Schizosaccharomyces pombe: one gene and its partner. The protein of the gene in region 1 binds, or shares a complex with, the protein of each later gene. Each region holds a gene or a part of one and is shown in the gene's direction. Other genes may lie near its edges.

Region 1 (8,364 bases):
TTAGTTTGTGTGGACAGACGGAGGTGATCTTCTATTACTCACTAAAGTTTGTTAATTTAAGATTTCAAAATTCGAAGAAATGTGCTATATTTCAAAAACAAAAAAAATAATACAACATAATGAAGATAAGTCGGCCTTTGAATGGTCTTAAGCAACTAGTAACGATACCTATTAATAGTGCACTCGATATATATTGTATTACTTTTTACATTTCTAAATTTCTGCAAATTTTTTACGTTGTTTAACGGTACAATACCATCGTATATCATATACTATTGATCCTTAAATACCATAATTCGAAAGGTAAGCTAAGAAACATTGTTTTTCTTGTTCTGTAGCGGATGAGGCATAGATACTCGCAAGTATTTATTGATTGAATGACTTTGTTCTAACTAAATCATACCATGAAGATTGAAGTAAAAATAAATCTGTAAAAGTTACATTTTATGCTTATTTATGTCTTTTGTTCTGAACAATTCATTATATCCATTTAGTTTACATGATTAACAATAATTGTGCTAGGATGTATTTCGCTATAGCAAATAGCAAATTGCTGTTGATCGCATTATATATGAATAATGCAGCACTGTAACACGAGCAGAGTACTTGGTTCGCACAAAAAACTGTGACGAAAAAGCTTAGAAAGTGCATTCTGAAGGGATTCTAGTTTTACCTGAATATTACTGAGAAAGAAGACATTTTCGATTTTTTTAATTAAAAACATACATCGCATACATTCAAAATTCGCTTCTAAATTAAATATAGTTCAAAATCGACGCAAAGTAAACGAACGTCTCTAAAAGCTGCACTAGCAAATCAATAAACTATAATCCTTGAGCCTAAAATTTATAATATATATATTAGCAGCATGGAAGCCGTGATCGCGAATATTCTACAGCAGTTGGGATTCGATAGCATGACTAAAGCAGCAGAAGCATCCTTTGTTGAAGCTGTGGACAAATGTAAGTCCTGTCGAACCGAGAAAATTAAAATTCTTTATTTCTAATAGCAATAATAGATTTGAGGAACTCTTTTCGAGAACTTGCTCTTCATACTCAATTGAGCAAACACACAATTCCTACGACTAAAGATGTGGCCTTATGGCTCAATTTGTTGAATATACCCATGTCAAGCCTTCAAACAGAATTAGAAAAATATTTAAAACCTTTACCTCCTGCAATTAATGATGAACTAGATAGACTGGCCAATGAAAGTCAGGATATCCCTTCAAAATTCAAATCATCCTTGGATTCGAAAATGGTATCTCAACTTTTGGGATCCCTGGCAGTGTCTCAAAATAGACCAGCTTATGTCGTTAATCATTTACCTCCTTTTCCTGCATCACATACTTACATGGCTACCCCCGTATATCCCGTTCGTCCTACATCTCCTAAACAGATTCGTGAACTCGCAACTCAAGAATCCAGGCTTGCTGAACATGCTCTTCGTAAAATTTTAAATGTTAATCAACCACGTTCTGCCGATTCGCCTCGTCATGCCTCATTTGAAAAAGCGTGCTCCGAGCTAAATCTCGATGTTTCGTCATTTCACTTAGTAAATTGGGAATCCCAAAAATGGAGCTCCCAAAGGTGAATATACTTGTTAATTTCTTTCCTTTTACGTTAATCAAAAAAAGATTAACTTATTTCCTTTTTTTTTTTAATTTTTCTCAACGACAGGTCCTGACTGTAACCCAATCTGATTTGACATTGGTCGAACTTCCTTCATGTGTCCATCCACCCTATTTTTGCATTAGCTTTTCTTTCTCTATAATAATGTTCCCTATAGACTTACACTTGAAAAAATCTTTGAACTGTAATACAGACGACGTCGTTCTCATGTGCACTTACTTTTTCACAGATATATTGTTTCATGCATTTATATGCCGGCTTTTCAAGTTTCTCTTTATGACTTTTTTGTGACATTGCGAATGAAAATTTCCTTTTCTCTTTGTGCAGTTAGTTCCGCTTTCAATCAACCTATTTTTATTATTTGTCGCTACTCCTTCATTCAATAAAATTGCCTTGATCCCCTCTTTCTCTTGTATTTAAGTAGTAAAATAACGTAAGGAGTTAATAAACAAATGAAATAATAGAGGCTCTAGTACAAATTCTACGCCACAGGGTTTTTCGATCGTTCTGTGCGAATGTAACTAAGTTGTACTTTTTTGTGTATTTACGAATATTTGCTTTAAAGTAATCGCTATCAGACTTGTCTTGCAACTGTATTTTTATAAAGTTCCAGCATAAAGCAATTTCTTCAGTGAATACGCAGCATCTCTTCATTACACCCTTAGGTTATTTGAAATGGGTAAAATCCAAGTATGAATAATCTTATCCAAGGTTTTGAAGACTAATGTCATATGCTAACGACAGTAGATTATATGAAATGTATGTAGACAAATACTACCGATGCTTTAAAGCGCATAGCGATTTTTACCGTACTATGGTTAAATCAAGCCTACAAATCTCGGTGACGAGTTGAACATTAGATTATAAACATTCATGGAGGAAAAGACACCAGAAAATGAGCAATCGTATGTATTTCAGGGAACTTTTTTAGTTTGTTAAACTAACTTGTAGGAAAAAAACATTTGATCCAAAGGACTCTATGAAAATAGAAGAAACTAGTACAAATGGTAGCTCACAGCCATCTCAACCTTCAAATATCAAGCTTTCTATAGGGTCTATCTTAGAAAGTTCTAATGATAACGGAGATCCTGAGTACTCGGAAAATGGAATGGGGAATATGAATATGAATACTTTACCAATGGCTACATCGACACCCATGTCATATACCAAACAACCTTCTGAAGCCAAATATCCAAATTCAGTTTGGGAAAGGAAAGGGGTTTCCGACCAAGAGGAAAATACAAGCTCTGTTAAACGTCAAAAAACTCTTCCTACTCAGTCATCAGGAGAAGAGGAAGCCAAGTATTCACATCCTGGAGCGCCAACGGCTACAAGTGCTGATTCCATTAGTATGGAATCGCGTCCATCCAATTTATCAACTTCCTTGTCCAAAACGACATCTTATCCGCAATTCCAAGTTCGACAATTCGTTTCTCCGATAATCAGTATAGATAATAGTGCGTTGGAACCTTTTCTTAACCGATATCCAGCGTCTGAATCTTTATTTCCAGTCACCGAATATGAATACACTCCTTGGCTTGAATTTCCTCTTTTATATTCCTCAATTGGTAAGTTCGTTCGTGTGACAATCGACATCAAATGGCTGAATGCAGCCATCAATCCCAGACTTTGCAGACGAGAAATATGGGGGACCGATGTGTATACTGATGATTCCGATATTGCTACTATACTTGCCCATTGTGGATGCTTTTCTCTTTTGAAGCCAGTCAGAAAAATTGCCGTTGTCGACTTGTACATACTTCCTCCTTTAGTTCATTACAAAGGCACTAGGAAAAACCAAATTGAGAGTAGAAGCTGGTCTTCTCGTCAAGATGGCATAAGTCTTAAAATAAAAGAAGTAACTTGGAAGCCAGCGTGTGCCTCAATTTTTGAAAACTCCATACATACACTCACTCTGGAAGAACGGCTACAAGCTCGCTTAGAGCTATCACGCTCTTCTACTTTTAAAATCTAATTTTTTGATATTATTAATCGGTTTCTTTTCAAAAATATTTTTTTTTCTTTTTATATATCTGCCTGTACCAAGAAATTACTTATTTTTCAACACTTCATTCAATTTCACTTTCGCGAATTTACGGAATCGCAAAAGCTTCTCGCTCTACTTCGCTAACTGTCTTTTTTGTCTATGTCAAATTCGTGTAATAATGTGTCCGTTGATGTGCAATTACTACATAAGCAATTAGCGTTGTACAATATCGCATTGGTTTTGCAAAATTCCTTTGCCTTGGCGTCCTCGTTCCTAGTTACTCGTGCGAACGCTCGCCTCCAAAATTAGGTATCCCGCAGATAGTATATTGATCCGATGATCATAGCAATCAATAGTAGACTTCCGCAGTCTGGTTTGGATATTTTCGGTTCTACAATCAAAGTATATACGTTTTTAATTTAAATACCTTCAATACTATTAAACCCTTTTTTTTGTTAATAGAGGCCTCTTTTTTTTTTCTTTTTTTTTTTTACCACTGCTTTATTTACATGACAACGATACGTCGGTCTCATTACTCGTGCCATAACAACACAAACAGACAGTTTGTCTTTGTTCAGCTGATTAACTGAAGATACAAAAGAACAACGTGAATAATTAATTATCTGGCATTGTCTAATTTCCTCCGTGTATTGAGTATTGTTGATTATAAAGTTTGCGGAACTAATGAGGACGCGGAATGGAATCATAGCGGAATTACAGAAATTTTCATTACTTTTGCGCCGTCGTTTCAAAATGTAAAATTGCCGCTCATTATTTAAATTTCAAAAATCTAGGGCAAGTTAAAACATGTAGAATATATTATTTACGAGTATAAAATCGATGGTAAAACAAAACTTTGAAAATATTCGAAAAGGTGTAGCAACCTTTTAGGCGACGATCGTAAGACGCAGCACACTGTACATCAATTTATCCTTGTTGGATGCTAAATATTTATTTTTGCACTAACAACTAGGGCGGCGGCCAACATCATACATTACATATGCGTTAGACTGGTTTTCGGAACCCTACCCTAAATAAGGCTGAATGACTTGAGAGCGGGGGCGGTACGCTTTCTTCTTTTCCCAACCATAACTTTGGAGTACACGACATAAATAAGAGCGTTGCCTTAAAAGCCGCGTGCAACTCAATTTCTGGTATATCAAGATTCCAGTTCTTGGTTTCTGACTGGTTCAACGACTAGCCATCTACTACTCAATTGGTGAATTGGACGACGAAACTGTGTATTATCTTGTTTCACTTGCTAAAGAGGAGACGTACATCTGAGGTACAGCACTCTATTAGTCTTAATCGCTAAGTGCTTTTTCGATCCCTCAAAATTATCTGCAGGATTGCAAGGTCGTCAAAATCACCGTGATTTCTTTTATTACGTTGGTAAAGTCATTCAAAGTACTGAGAAATTGTTGTTGGCGATTTTAACTCAGTTTTGCTTTTGCTCTATTTTCAAAAAGAAGAAAAACGATCATATATATATTTTATTGTGAAGACTATTTGAGAATATTTTTGGAAATCATGTATTCTCTTTAACAAATTCACGTGAATATCTTCTTTCGTGTCGTTATAGGTTCAACAAGTAATTCTTTTATCGACTTATAGTATTTTTTTAAAACTTGATTTTTGCGACGCTCGTCTTACTTACTCACTGCTGTCCAAGTGACTTTTCGTTTGTACCTCTCATAATTTTTTATTTATACTTCTTAAAAACTTGAGCCTCTCGTTGTTTATCACTTATTGATCGATTGACTTCATTTTAAGTTGATTTTTTTCTATCTTAACTGTGCGATTTTGAAAGTTCAACTCATCTTTCCTTTCAGCGAACACATTTAACTAGCTCAGTTACATACATTACAGCTTTCGTTAAAAGTCTCTACTTTAGACGTTATCATAAAAGATTATACAATCTGCTTTTGTCTTCTTTGCTATTGCTTGATCGTCTGGATACTATCCTTACAATTGCACTAAATCAAACCATCTATTTTCTTATTTTTATTAAGGCATCCATCGATGACTGGGTTACTTAGTATACTTTTGCATTACAAAGGCAACGGCGACTTGGCTACTACTGACATCCCTTCTCACGAGAAAATTCCGTCTGCTAAACGCACGGCTGTACAATTTTGTATTGGTCCGACCCATGAGCAGTCTCCGCGTATGTCGACCGTCAGTCAGGGCCGAGTTACGTTTGCAGTGTTACCTACAAAACCAAAAGATGAAGTTACCTCCATGAAAGCTAATGGCTCTCGTCAATCGTCTTGCATCGTTTCAAATGCCCGAAAACGCCAGTCTGTTCATTGCCTTTCTAGAAGTCCAATTCCAAGCACCCGACTGAAGGAGAATGACAGTAGACTCTGCAGTCCTCTTGCTTCTCCGACAGGCGGACTAAAGAGACCAGCAAAAGTGTCTTTTGCACTTGCTAATACTCCTTCCCGTAAAGGGAATCTTGTCCCACAGTCACCTAGGAGAACTATTGCTACTACTTGCAAAGGTGTTTTAGAGGATGTATTGAAAAAGGACAATGAGTTGAAGTTTAACGATTCTGATGAAGAAGATGAAGTCGATGATGAGGAGATTGAAAGTTTCAACTCATTTTCTCGTAAAATGCAAACAATCAGTAACTCTCGTTATCGTGGTTCCCCGAAACCAAACATTGAAAAGCAAAGTTGCTCCTCTGAATCCGATCGCGTTTCTCAAATCAGCGATGATGAGGAAGATGAAGAGGGATCCGCTGATGAGGAGGATGAGGAAGATTCAGATGTTGAGCTTTCCGAATCTTCCTTATCCGATGATGAGGATTCTCCTCTTCGTTGTCCTTCTACACCAGTCCAAACAGCTGCTGCTCCAAATGAAAGTCAAATTCCCGATGATACGGATTTCGTTCCTGGTACATTTGACGAAGATCAACCTGCATGTTTAGCTTTTGCTTGTTCCTTAACGCACGCGAACTCTAAGAGATCAATAATGTTGCCCCAGGATATAGATCCAACGTTTCCTGATTCGGAACCAGAAGATGATGGTCATGCAAGTTCTACAGTTGGCTCTCTTTCTAAAGAGGAGGCCCGTTTTAAAGCTAAAGCCAAATGGAATTACAAGTCTTCATTTTCCGCACATGTGTCTTCTGAAGTTTTGCGCAATAGCAAGTCACCACCTCTTGACATTGCTCGTAAAGCAGTCGGCGCACATCGTGTTTAAACCAAAGAAAAAATTGGATAATTATCCGTTCTTGTACATTAATAAATGGAATAGTAAAGTTTAGTCGCATTTAGTCATCTAAGGTTGTTGTTATGTGCGCATTTTCTTCATGAGTTTCATTATGCTTTGTAGCATTATCCATTCGTTACGTTATCATTTGTTTGTTATACTTGTTAAAAAATAACATATTATTCCAACCAGTTATCGAGTATTAACAGAAAATATGTATATTAATAAACTATTTTACACATAAAAAGTACACAGTGTTAAATAAAACTAAGATCCCAATTGTGATACGATCACCAGCGCGATAAGACAAATTCTGGATTCTCAAAATTGCTCTTAAGGCAATCTACAAACTTAATTGCACGGCTTTTGCTGATGTTGTCCTTGATGGACAATGTCAGGGTCAAATCCTCAGTAGTAGATGGCTCCTCGTGACGATTTATTCTGGAATCGATACTATCGCTGTTGCTACCCAGCAGCATATCATAAACATCATCCAAAAATTCAACGTTATTAGAAGAGCTTTTTGTCACAGAACTGAAGTTCAGCTTTACATAGTCGCTTAAATTGCTAGGTAAACTGTACGGTTAATATCAGAGCAATCGCAATGAAAAGTCTTACCCTATCATAGAATCACGAATGTATTTGTGTAAATCTTTAGTGTTATTGTTTTTTGGGAATAGCTTAGGTTGAAAATTTGAAACCGAAGACTTTAATTTTACGATTGGAGCGCCTAGAAGTAAATCGTAAGCAGATTCAATTGAGTTAGGTTCAACTTTCGACAATTCAGATATAGAAAGAGCATCACCAATCATTGCTGAGACGACTTCATCAATACCAAATGCATCTTTTTCTGAAAAAGATATTAGCAATAAAATATAATAAAAGGACATTACAATACCTTTTCTTTTAGCTAGCAAAGATTTTAACTTTTCTAGTGAAATAGATCTCTCAAAAGTGATATATTCATCTTTCATCGGAACAGTTTTTAAAGTTTCTATCATCGTTGATTTCCTAACGGGAACGCTGTCTTCAGTGTACGATGGTTTTTTAGGCTCAACGCCAGAAAAATCCAAAACCTCGAGATTACGAACAAATTTTTGAAGAGATGAAGGAACCCCTTTATCAATTTTTCCGACGTGTGCTAATACATCTCCTTTGAGAAGGCGACCATGAGGGCCTGTAGCAGGAATAGACCACGGGTTTTCGATTTTATATTGATGAATCAAATAGCTAACGGAAGGAAGAAACGATTTGTTAACAGCATCGTTCGCTTGAGAAGTCGATTTGTGTTCCACATTACTTTTTGTTTCGCGATCTTGAACAATAGGCTTTACCTCTTCCTTAGAAGAGGAGAAAGATTGCTCTTCTGAGGACGCTTCATCCTTAGGTAATTCCAAGTCTTTCAAATTATCTTCTGCATCAGCAACGATGGCAATATTTTTACCAACAGGGATATTCGATCCTTTTTCGATTAAGACTTTAGCAAGTATTCCATTATCTTGCACTTCAACATCCATTGTCGCTTTATCT
Region 2 (7,936 bases), on another chromosome or scaffold:
AATAAGGTCCGAGTGAACCATCGTCATTAGTTCAATTGTAATCTATTTCAGTTGGTTATAACAGTCCTTTTTAAAAGCACATTCAATAGTAAAGAGTAAATAACTACTTAATCATATGCCATGAGTAAAAATAAAGACCTAACAACAGTTACACAACTCCAACAAGAAATTGTCTTTTACTTGAAGTTGATATTTTACTTACTAGCTGGTTATTATGGTCGCTAGTATACGTGATTTCTCTCTCGCGATGATTAAACTCCTAAATTAATCTATATCTGTATAGCGAACAAATTGAAGAACACGCTGCACAAAATTAATACGAAACATTAAACAAAATAGAACTATTGGTCTAAAATTCGCTTGCGAGCTGATAGGAATTCTGTAATGTGTGGATTGCAAGCAATAGAATCGTTACTTTGAAAAAAAAAGGAAGTCTGATATTACAACCATGGCTTTGGTGTAGCGAAATGATCCGTTATTCAATTGAAAAACTTATATTGTTGTTAGTTTCCTTGTTTAATTATCCCCAAATATCCCACACCAAAAATCGCTTGTTGATGGTGGCTCTTCAGCAATGTGTATACCATGTCTACAAAGTTATACATAGTGCCCAAAATAGGTGGTTGGATTTAAATTTCTCTGTGAAATTTAAAAAGCATTGAGTTTTCACACAATGTCATGGATATGTTAAATAGTTCGGTAAAGAAACTCACCGTTGGTGAAATAGAAGCGAATCCTTAATATATCCAAAAATTTATTGGAGAATAAAAAACCGCTACTGCCTTGTCAAGACTTCCATTTCCAATGTCTTTTATAGTGTACCTGTTTGTATGTTTAATATCAATAGAAGTTTAATTTTTTGGCTCATTAAGTATTTACAAACATTAATCTTCATCTTCAATCGGATCATCAATATCTTCTAAAACTTGATCTTCATGCGCTTCAATAACGGGATCAGAAACAGATCTTTTTCCATAAATTACCATATAATCATCAAAAATGCCTCTTACAATACCTTCGTTGTTCCACTGTTGGAATCGAAGTTGTCTCCACTTTCGTGGAACGGGAGACGGTAGATAAAATAATGTACCTTGAACTGAAAACCACGTAGATATTTCATCTCCCGTGTAGGAGTACGGAAAATCATGGGACAAACAGTCAGATATGCTCAGCAAATCACATACATTAAAAGCCTCATCCGTTGTAACGCAAGAATCAACGTAATTTTCAAAAAGTCCGTAACGAAAAACAGATCCGCTTAATCCACTCTGGTTGATTGTCGATTCGATATCCACCAAGCTTCGTCTTTTGGAAGTAAAGCATTGATCAACATTAAGCATTCGTTCTCGCTGGTCACTTTTTAATGAAATACAATTCTTGTTTTCTTGGCTTTTACTGACTTTTACTCCCTTTATTCGTTCCGAATTGCCCGTTTGCTGAGATGAAGCCTTTAGCACTTCATCATCTCCTTCCCGTTTGTTCCATACAACTTTTCCAATGGCATGCATCATTCCAAGGCCAACGTCCTTCTTGAAAAACGAATTCTCATTTTTATCGGATTTTGGGATATACGCACTTTTATAATTTTTAAATCTTGCGTAGGCCTCCGAATCGCTTTTTGACAATCGTTCAAGAACCTGCGCAGCTTCTAAGCTAAAATCATTCCCCTTTCCTTTCCCCTCTTTTACTTCTCTAATATTTTTTGTTCCTTTCTTTTCAAAAGATTGAGAGATCGATAATTGTAAGGAATTTATCGCACTCCTCAAATCCCCTTCGCTGGCAGAACAAATATTCTCCACCAAACTCAACAACTTTGGAGACTTGGGAACACCCTCTTTACGTAGAATAGAGCCAAGGCATTTTTTCATGTATGTCGGCGCAATAGGATTAAACTGTAAAACTGTTACACGTGGATCCTGAAGTAGATCATTACCCATTATCTGCACGCTATTAAAGGAATTTCGATCTTGACTATTAATACCTTCCAAGTTGTTTAACTGTATTTCTGTAAGAACCATGATGATGGAAAAGGCGCCTCGCGATGTCAATGCGGTGCGAATGACATTACGAAAAGCATCAAGAGAGCCATTGAATTTAGAAAGGTGAGGAATTTCATCCAAAAAAATAAACTTTTTCTTTCCTTGTGCATTTTTTCCACGCTTTTGAATATTATTTGAATCCATAAGCTCTAACTCTGGATAAGTTTCGCATAAAGACATAAATCTACTAAACTTTTCCGTGAGCGAAAGTGTATCTGATTCTTGGTTTGAAGGCTCTTTTAGGTTCATAGGGTTTAGCCATTCTATGAGACTATAACCTAATTCTTTAGCCAAGACCTGAACTGCGGTACTCTTTCCACAACCAGAAGGACCACAGATCAAAAGTAACCTCTATGATTTTGTTAGCCAAGAAATATTTTTGAGAGAATTAGGGGAGATTTAACATACACTTTCTAAAGAATCCGTTAACATCCATTGCTTAATTGCACTTATTTTGCTTTTATGCACGGCAAGATCAGCCGCTTTTTGAGGAATGTATTTTTCAAACCAAACTATGCGCACCGTTAATTTTTGAACCTTTTTAAATTTTCTTACGTTGAAATCGATCTTCTTTTAAATTATTGAGATGAACAATTTTGTTTTCTTCATCAGAAAAGGCTTCAATATCTTCTTCATGAATATCGGTTATCGAAGCATTTTTGTCGCGTGAAGTTTTTGAAACTAGAGAAGGTTTTTCAATCTTTCTTATTTTCTTCTTTTTTAATGATCTCTTTGTAGATTCATGAAACGACAACTGTCGCCTCATGCCAGATATATGTTTTATTCAACAAAGAAATAGGAAGCTAAAGGTAGAGACTTTGTAAATCATTAGATAAAATATATATTAATAGTTCACAAAATTTTAACAGCACAAAAAAACGAGTGAATTGATTAATTTACTGCTGACAAGTAAATGTGTGAACTAGTGAAAATATACAAGTACTGTATATGGAAGAGAATAAGTGAGTAGGTTTCTTAAGTACTCTGAAACTGCTTCCTATAAAGAAGAGTAAAAAAGACATGTGTATAATTTATTTATAAATCATTTATTTGTACATTTCTCTTATTGTAAGATATATTGCGAAAGTATTTATTACAAATTTACTTTTTTTTCTCATACTGTAAACAATGATCATCAATAAAAAAGTTAGCTTTTTAATTAATGAACATCTGAACGATAAAGAATGAATAAATAAACAAGTAAAATAGTGATATATTTCAATTGAGAAATTACTCTAATGGACACAGAAATGTATTTCTCTTCATTTATAAAATCAAACAATTGGCATTTTCAATTATGTCGTATATGAGTGCATTAGGAACTAGCAGCTGGAAAGGCAAAGCTGTAAATATTAAGAATATAGTAATGAGTATATTTAACCTTGATTTGGATTGCGACATTACACTGGAAACCAAAGGAGGAATTGTTTCATTAGAAGCAGTCTAATAATCCAATGTTGCTGCATCAAAACTCCCTATTTTGTTGATAAACATAGTTAGCCGAGCTCTAACTCTTTAAGAACCGATATGAACTCCATTGGGAAATGAGCAAGAATAGAAATCAACCAACACTACAGAAAGTTCATACCCATACATCTAATGTGGTACTTTTAATCCCCTATCCATCAGTATTTCGCTTGGCTTAATTATATTTGATGGGATGTATTTCCTTTTTGGAATTGATTTTTCGCATAATACTGGAAACAGAAACCCTTGTGAGCAAAGAAAAACTTGGGAAACCCACTTGATTAATATGGCAAATAATTTTTTTCTTCAAAATGGCATTTATTTTCCATTTTGTATTTACCATTCAAGTAACATGTTTTTTTGACAACCTAACCCTACCTACCGGTTTCGACATGTGTTCCATCCATCCTTGGGATTTTACTAACACCAACAATCGTTTGGCATAAGGTGAAACTTGGAATTGCTGTTGGCTGTAAATTTCATCTAAAGTCGGTCGCTCTTTTGACTTTTGCATAAAAGAATTGTACATAAAAACAACAATTTGGAGTAATTTCAGAGTCTACTTGATTTAATTGAAAAGGTTATCGACAGCTTGCTCGACTTTATCAAGGAAAAAGGTAAGATGAAATCGAGTCAAACGCTTGTTTATTCGATCCCTAGAAATGTGGAGAAGGACACATGTGCGGCAGCCATTAAGGCATATCAGTACCTAATATCTCCGCCGCCTTCTCCCATTCCAAATGACAAAGTTGCAAGTACTGTTGATGTACCTAAGTGTTCTACAATACCTGAATCTCCAAAAGATTCTATTGTGGAACCAAAGCCGACAGCAACACCTGTTGCGCAACTGCATTCCAAGGTTTACGATCTGTACCGAGATTCACCTAAAATTTGGCTTCGCCGAGAAAGGCAATGGCTTCAGCGTCATTCTCCAGCATACAGGTTTTCGACTCCAGCTGCCAAACGTCCAAGAAGGCAACCCAGCTCGTTTCTGGATGTGCACGCTTCTAATACCCGTAAAAGAGGTTCTCCTGATACGCCGGACTCGGGACATTCAACTCCGCATTCAAAAGGAGATGTTCATCCTGGAATGCCTCAACATAATACGCGTTTCAAGCAGTCCAGTAGGGAGTTTTCCTCCAACACCCAGGCCATTGATGTCGCCAATACACCATATGAGCTATTGCCTGATTATTCTCCTGATATGTCTGTTTTGGATAAACGTTCTCATCCTCGCCCCCTTCGTAGCGAATGGAAGGGCCCTCCCCTTGATCTTTCCAATGATGAGAATAGACACCTTTTACATCCTGCTGAGCTACAGTTGGCTGCAACACTTCGATTGCCTTGTCTCGTTTATCTTGACAATAAGCGTAGAATCTTTGCTGAGTGGCACAATCGCCGTACTCAAGGCCTAAGCTTTAGGAAAACAGATGCTCAACGTGCTAGTCGTGTCGATGTGAACAAAGCTAGTCGTCTTTGGAAAGCTTTTCACGATGAAGGTTTCTTTGACGACTAATTCGCGAATCGTTCATAATCCTGCTGGCCTTTCAAAAAATAGATTTTTTCTCTCTTTTTCTCTTTTGGCGGGTTAGGGAAATAATCAAATTTAAAAATTTCGAAAAACCACGGATTTCATTTTCGTTGGATTATTTATTTTTTTCTAGGTGTTTTGAATTTTTTGTTTACAATCATTTGCATCTCGGTAAAACCTTTCTTTTTTTTTTTGGATATTTCGTCTTGAAGTCGGTGTCCATCGTTTTATCTGGCCAATAACCAGTAGTATATACCTCAAGTCCCTCTTTTCTTCCTTCGTTCACTTTTTGTTTTTTTATCCTCCCAAAGATGAAAAGCATCATGTAGTCAGCATTTGTATTAAAAAATTCATTAATACAGATGTGAAATAACTCTCTTTTAAAAACGTTCGTTTCTCCTATTTACAGTAGATATTGTTATTTTTATACCTAATAACCGATAACCATCAGTTCCCTAATCAGACGGATTTTAGGGGTTTTTAGTTATTTTACTCTACTCAATTAGATCCAATGCTTAGCGGATAATTAATAATTGATTATTTATTCTTTGCTATTAAATTAATTAAACCATAGAAATTATAATGGATGTCCGACGTTAATATCCCAGTATTAATATACCCCAGTGTTGTAATGTAATGAATATATGGTCAAATCCAGCTTTTCTTAATCCTTGCAAAAAAAGTAAATCGACACGTAAAAACTTGCAATACCCGTGCAAATTTTAGTAAAAACCGATAACATATATCCCCAAACCAATTAACCAATATAATAACCCAAGAGCCCTGCTCTAAATGAAGTTTTCAATCTTATTGCAATTTTCAACTTCACATTGCATCTAAATCAAGAATTTACTGAAATGTTATCTTCTAGCTTTCTAAAAATTTATTGCATTTAAATAGTAAATCCAACGTGTAATAAAAGTTGGAAAAATCCCATGTTGAATGATATCGAAACTTCTCAAGTAAACAATTTAACAAGCAAACGATCAGGTTCAATGAGATTTTGATAAACAGCATCCTTAAGTGCAAATGACATGTTGACAATAAGAGAAATAGCCAAAGCTGTTCCTACAATCAATGGGCCCCAATAATCAGTCATTGGCGCAGGACTGCGGGACTTGATCATTTGAGAACGCTTGGCATGAAGCTTCCAAGCATAGAACCCAATGAAAATAGCTAAAAGAGTATAAACTACTCCAAAAGCCTGACCAAGTCTTTCTCCAGCACTATTATATAATGCAAGAGCAAGAGAACCAAGCAAGACCACGACATGAAGCCACTTCAAAAACGTACGCTCATTTGCAAGCCAAACTTTGGCCTCAACCTTAATCGGACCACTGACTCTAAGCGGAATCTCTGGTTTCTTGATATGGGGTGGAGTAACAAACGTTTTACCATGATGCTTAAACGATCCATAAGTAGATGGCTTCAGCAAACCAGGTATGCTTCTGAAGTTGAAATGGTCTCCGTGCTCATTTCGATACACCTCTCTATTATCTTCGGGCTCTTCTGAAACAGGGTGCATTTCATTGGCCTTTAAACGATTGACCAAAGGTGAGGGTTGACTAGGTTCGGGTGTCATATTCTGCTTTAAAACTCTTTGATTCCTACGTTTAATGTAAACATTTCGAGAGCCCGCAGATCCCTCGGGATGGGAGTACACCTCTTGAAGATCTTTTCGAATATCTTGATCCATTGAAAATACCCACATTGGTAAAAGAGATACGTATTTTTCAAAAAGAATTGCAACACCATGCTCATATTTCGAAAAACCATCAATTTCAGAAATTAAATGAGAATTACGCAATTCAGAGATCCAAAGAGGTTCGTCTTCATCATATCTAACACATTCACGGATTTCTAGGACACTATAAGGGAAACGAGAATACTCTCCTTTTCTTAAGTGCTTATATGGGAAATCAGCATCGTCAATATCGTGACGATGCCAATCTTCGGGGTCTCTACAAGGACGTTCGATGTCCAAAGAGTCTTCACGAATCATAACCCAGTCTGAGTCAAGATTGATACGAACCTCATCATCGCCTGGAATCTGAAATGCGGTACGAGTGTAAACAGAACGGAGAACAGGCTGCAAGTGATTGTCAACGATTAGCTGTTCAACATCTTCAATTAGTTTCTTCTTCTGATCAGAAGCAGTTGTCGAGTGATCATCCTCAACCTTCCTAAAATCATATCTCCCACTTAGAAGCTCTCTAACCTTCTTCTCGCGGATAGTGAACCGGTCTTCACTATGTGAAAGAGTACTTCCTTGACGTACCATTCGTTCAACGATAATATCGGTTTTGGGAGTTAACTTTCCATACCAATGAAGTCGCAAAGAATAAGCCTGTTCTGATCGTTCCAAATTTTGAGAATATAAATCAAAGTTGGAATTATCTAAATACAAGCAAGTTGATATAGGATCCAAAATTCCAGATACACCATTTTGGTCTTTGTCAAATCCTTGCTTTCCAGAGTAATAAAGAACAGGAAGATGCCTCATAATGTATGTTTTTACTTCCATCACATTATCAGGATGGACCCAAAAACGAAACGTACGACGACGATACATACTAGAATTGTAATCAACATTGTGCTCATGCTTCGGTTTCACTTGCACGGAGTTACTTGGTGCTGAAAGACCATCACGTAAAGTATTATAAAGAGAGAAAATTTCAGCTAAAAGAGGATTAAATTGGACACTGCCTAAAGGACAAGCGCGAAGACGAACCTGAAACACAGGACGAAGAGAATAGCCGGGATAAAGCTTATCATGCTTCTTAACGATTTTAAAGAAACCTGTTAAGTTAAGACGAGTGTACTTCTCCAACTTCTTAACCGTTTCAGTACAAGAATCCAATCGTTCTAGTAACTTGATGGCTTCTTCCTTAGAAATGGG

The links.
Region 2: rxt3 (region 1) and laf1 share a complex: the UniProt entries of both Schizosaccharomyces pombe proteins name them as parts of the RPD3C(L) complex.

Annotation. Positions count from the first base shown.
Region 1 is NC_003421.2:1,042,963-1,051,326, forward strand, and holds rxt3 (Clr6 and Rpd3L histone deacetylase complex LCCL domain subunit Rxt3), read left to right. Parts: upstream 1-2,504; coding exon 2,505-2,536; exon of another isoform or gene 2,537-2,582; coding exon 2,583-3,606; 3' UTR 3,607-4,495; downstream 4,496-8,364. Other genes in the region: taf8 (transcription factor TFIID complex subunit 8), read left to right, coding at 869-962, 1,019-1,593; SPOM_SPCC1259.16 (uncharacterized protein), read right to left, coding at 1,660-1,741, 1,795-1,925; SPOM_SPCC1259.08 (uncharacterized protein), read left to right, coding at 5,641-6,825; pyruvate dehydrogenase Pdx1, read right to left, coding at 7,125-7,410, 7,453-7,684, 7,733-8,362. UniProt on the Schizosaccharomyces pombe protein: Component of the RPD3C(L) histone deacetylase complex (HDAC) responsible for the deacetylation of lysine residues on the N-terminal part of the core histones (H2A, H2B, H3 and H4).
Region 2 is NC_003424.3:5,248,227-5,256,162, reverse strand, and holds laf1 (clr6 L-associated factor 1 Laf1), read left to right. Parts: upstream 1-3,928; 5' UTR 3,929-4,128; coding exon 4,129-5,022; 3' UTR 5,023-5,643; downstream 5,644-7,936. Other genes in the region: RFC-like checkpoint protein Rad17, read right to left, coding at 885-2,390, 2,448-2,551, 2,595-2,805; vtc2 (polyphosphate synthetase), read right to left, coding at 5,996-7,936. UniProt on the Schizosaccharomyces pombe protein: Component of the RPD3C(L) histone deacetylase complex (HDAC) responsible for the deacetylation of lysine residues on the N-terminal part of the core histones (H2A, H2B, H3 and H4).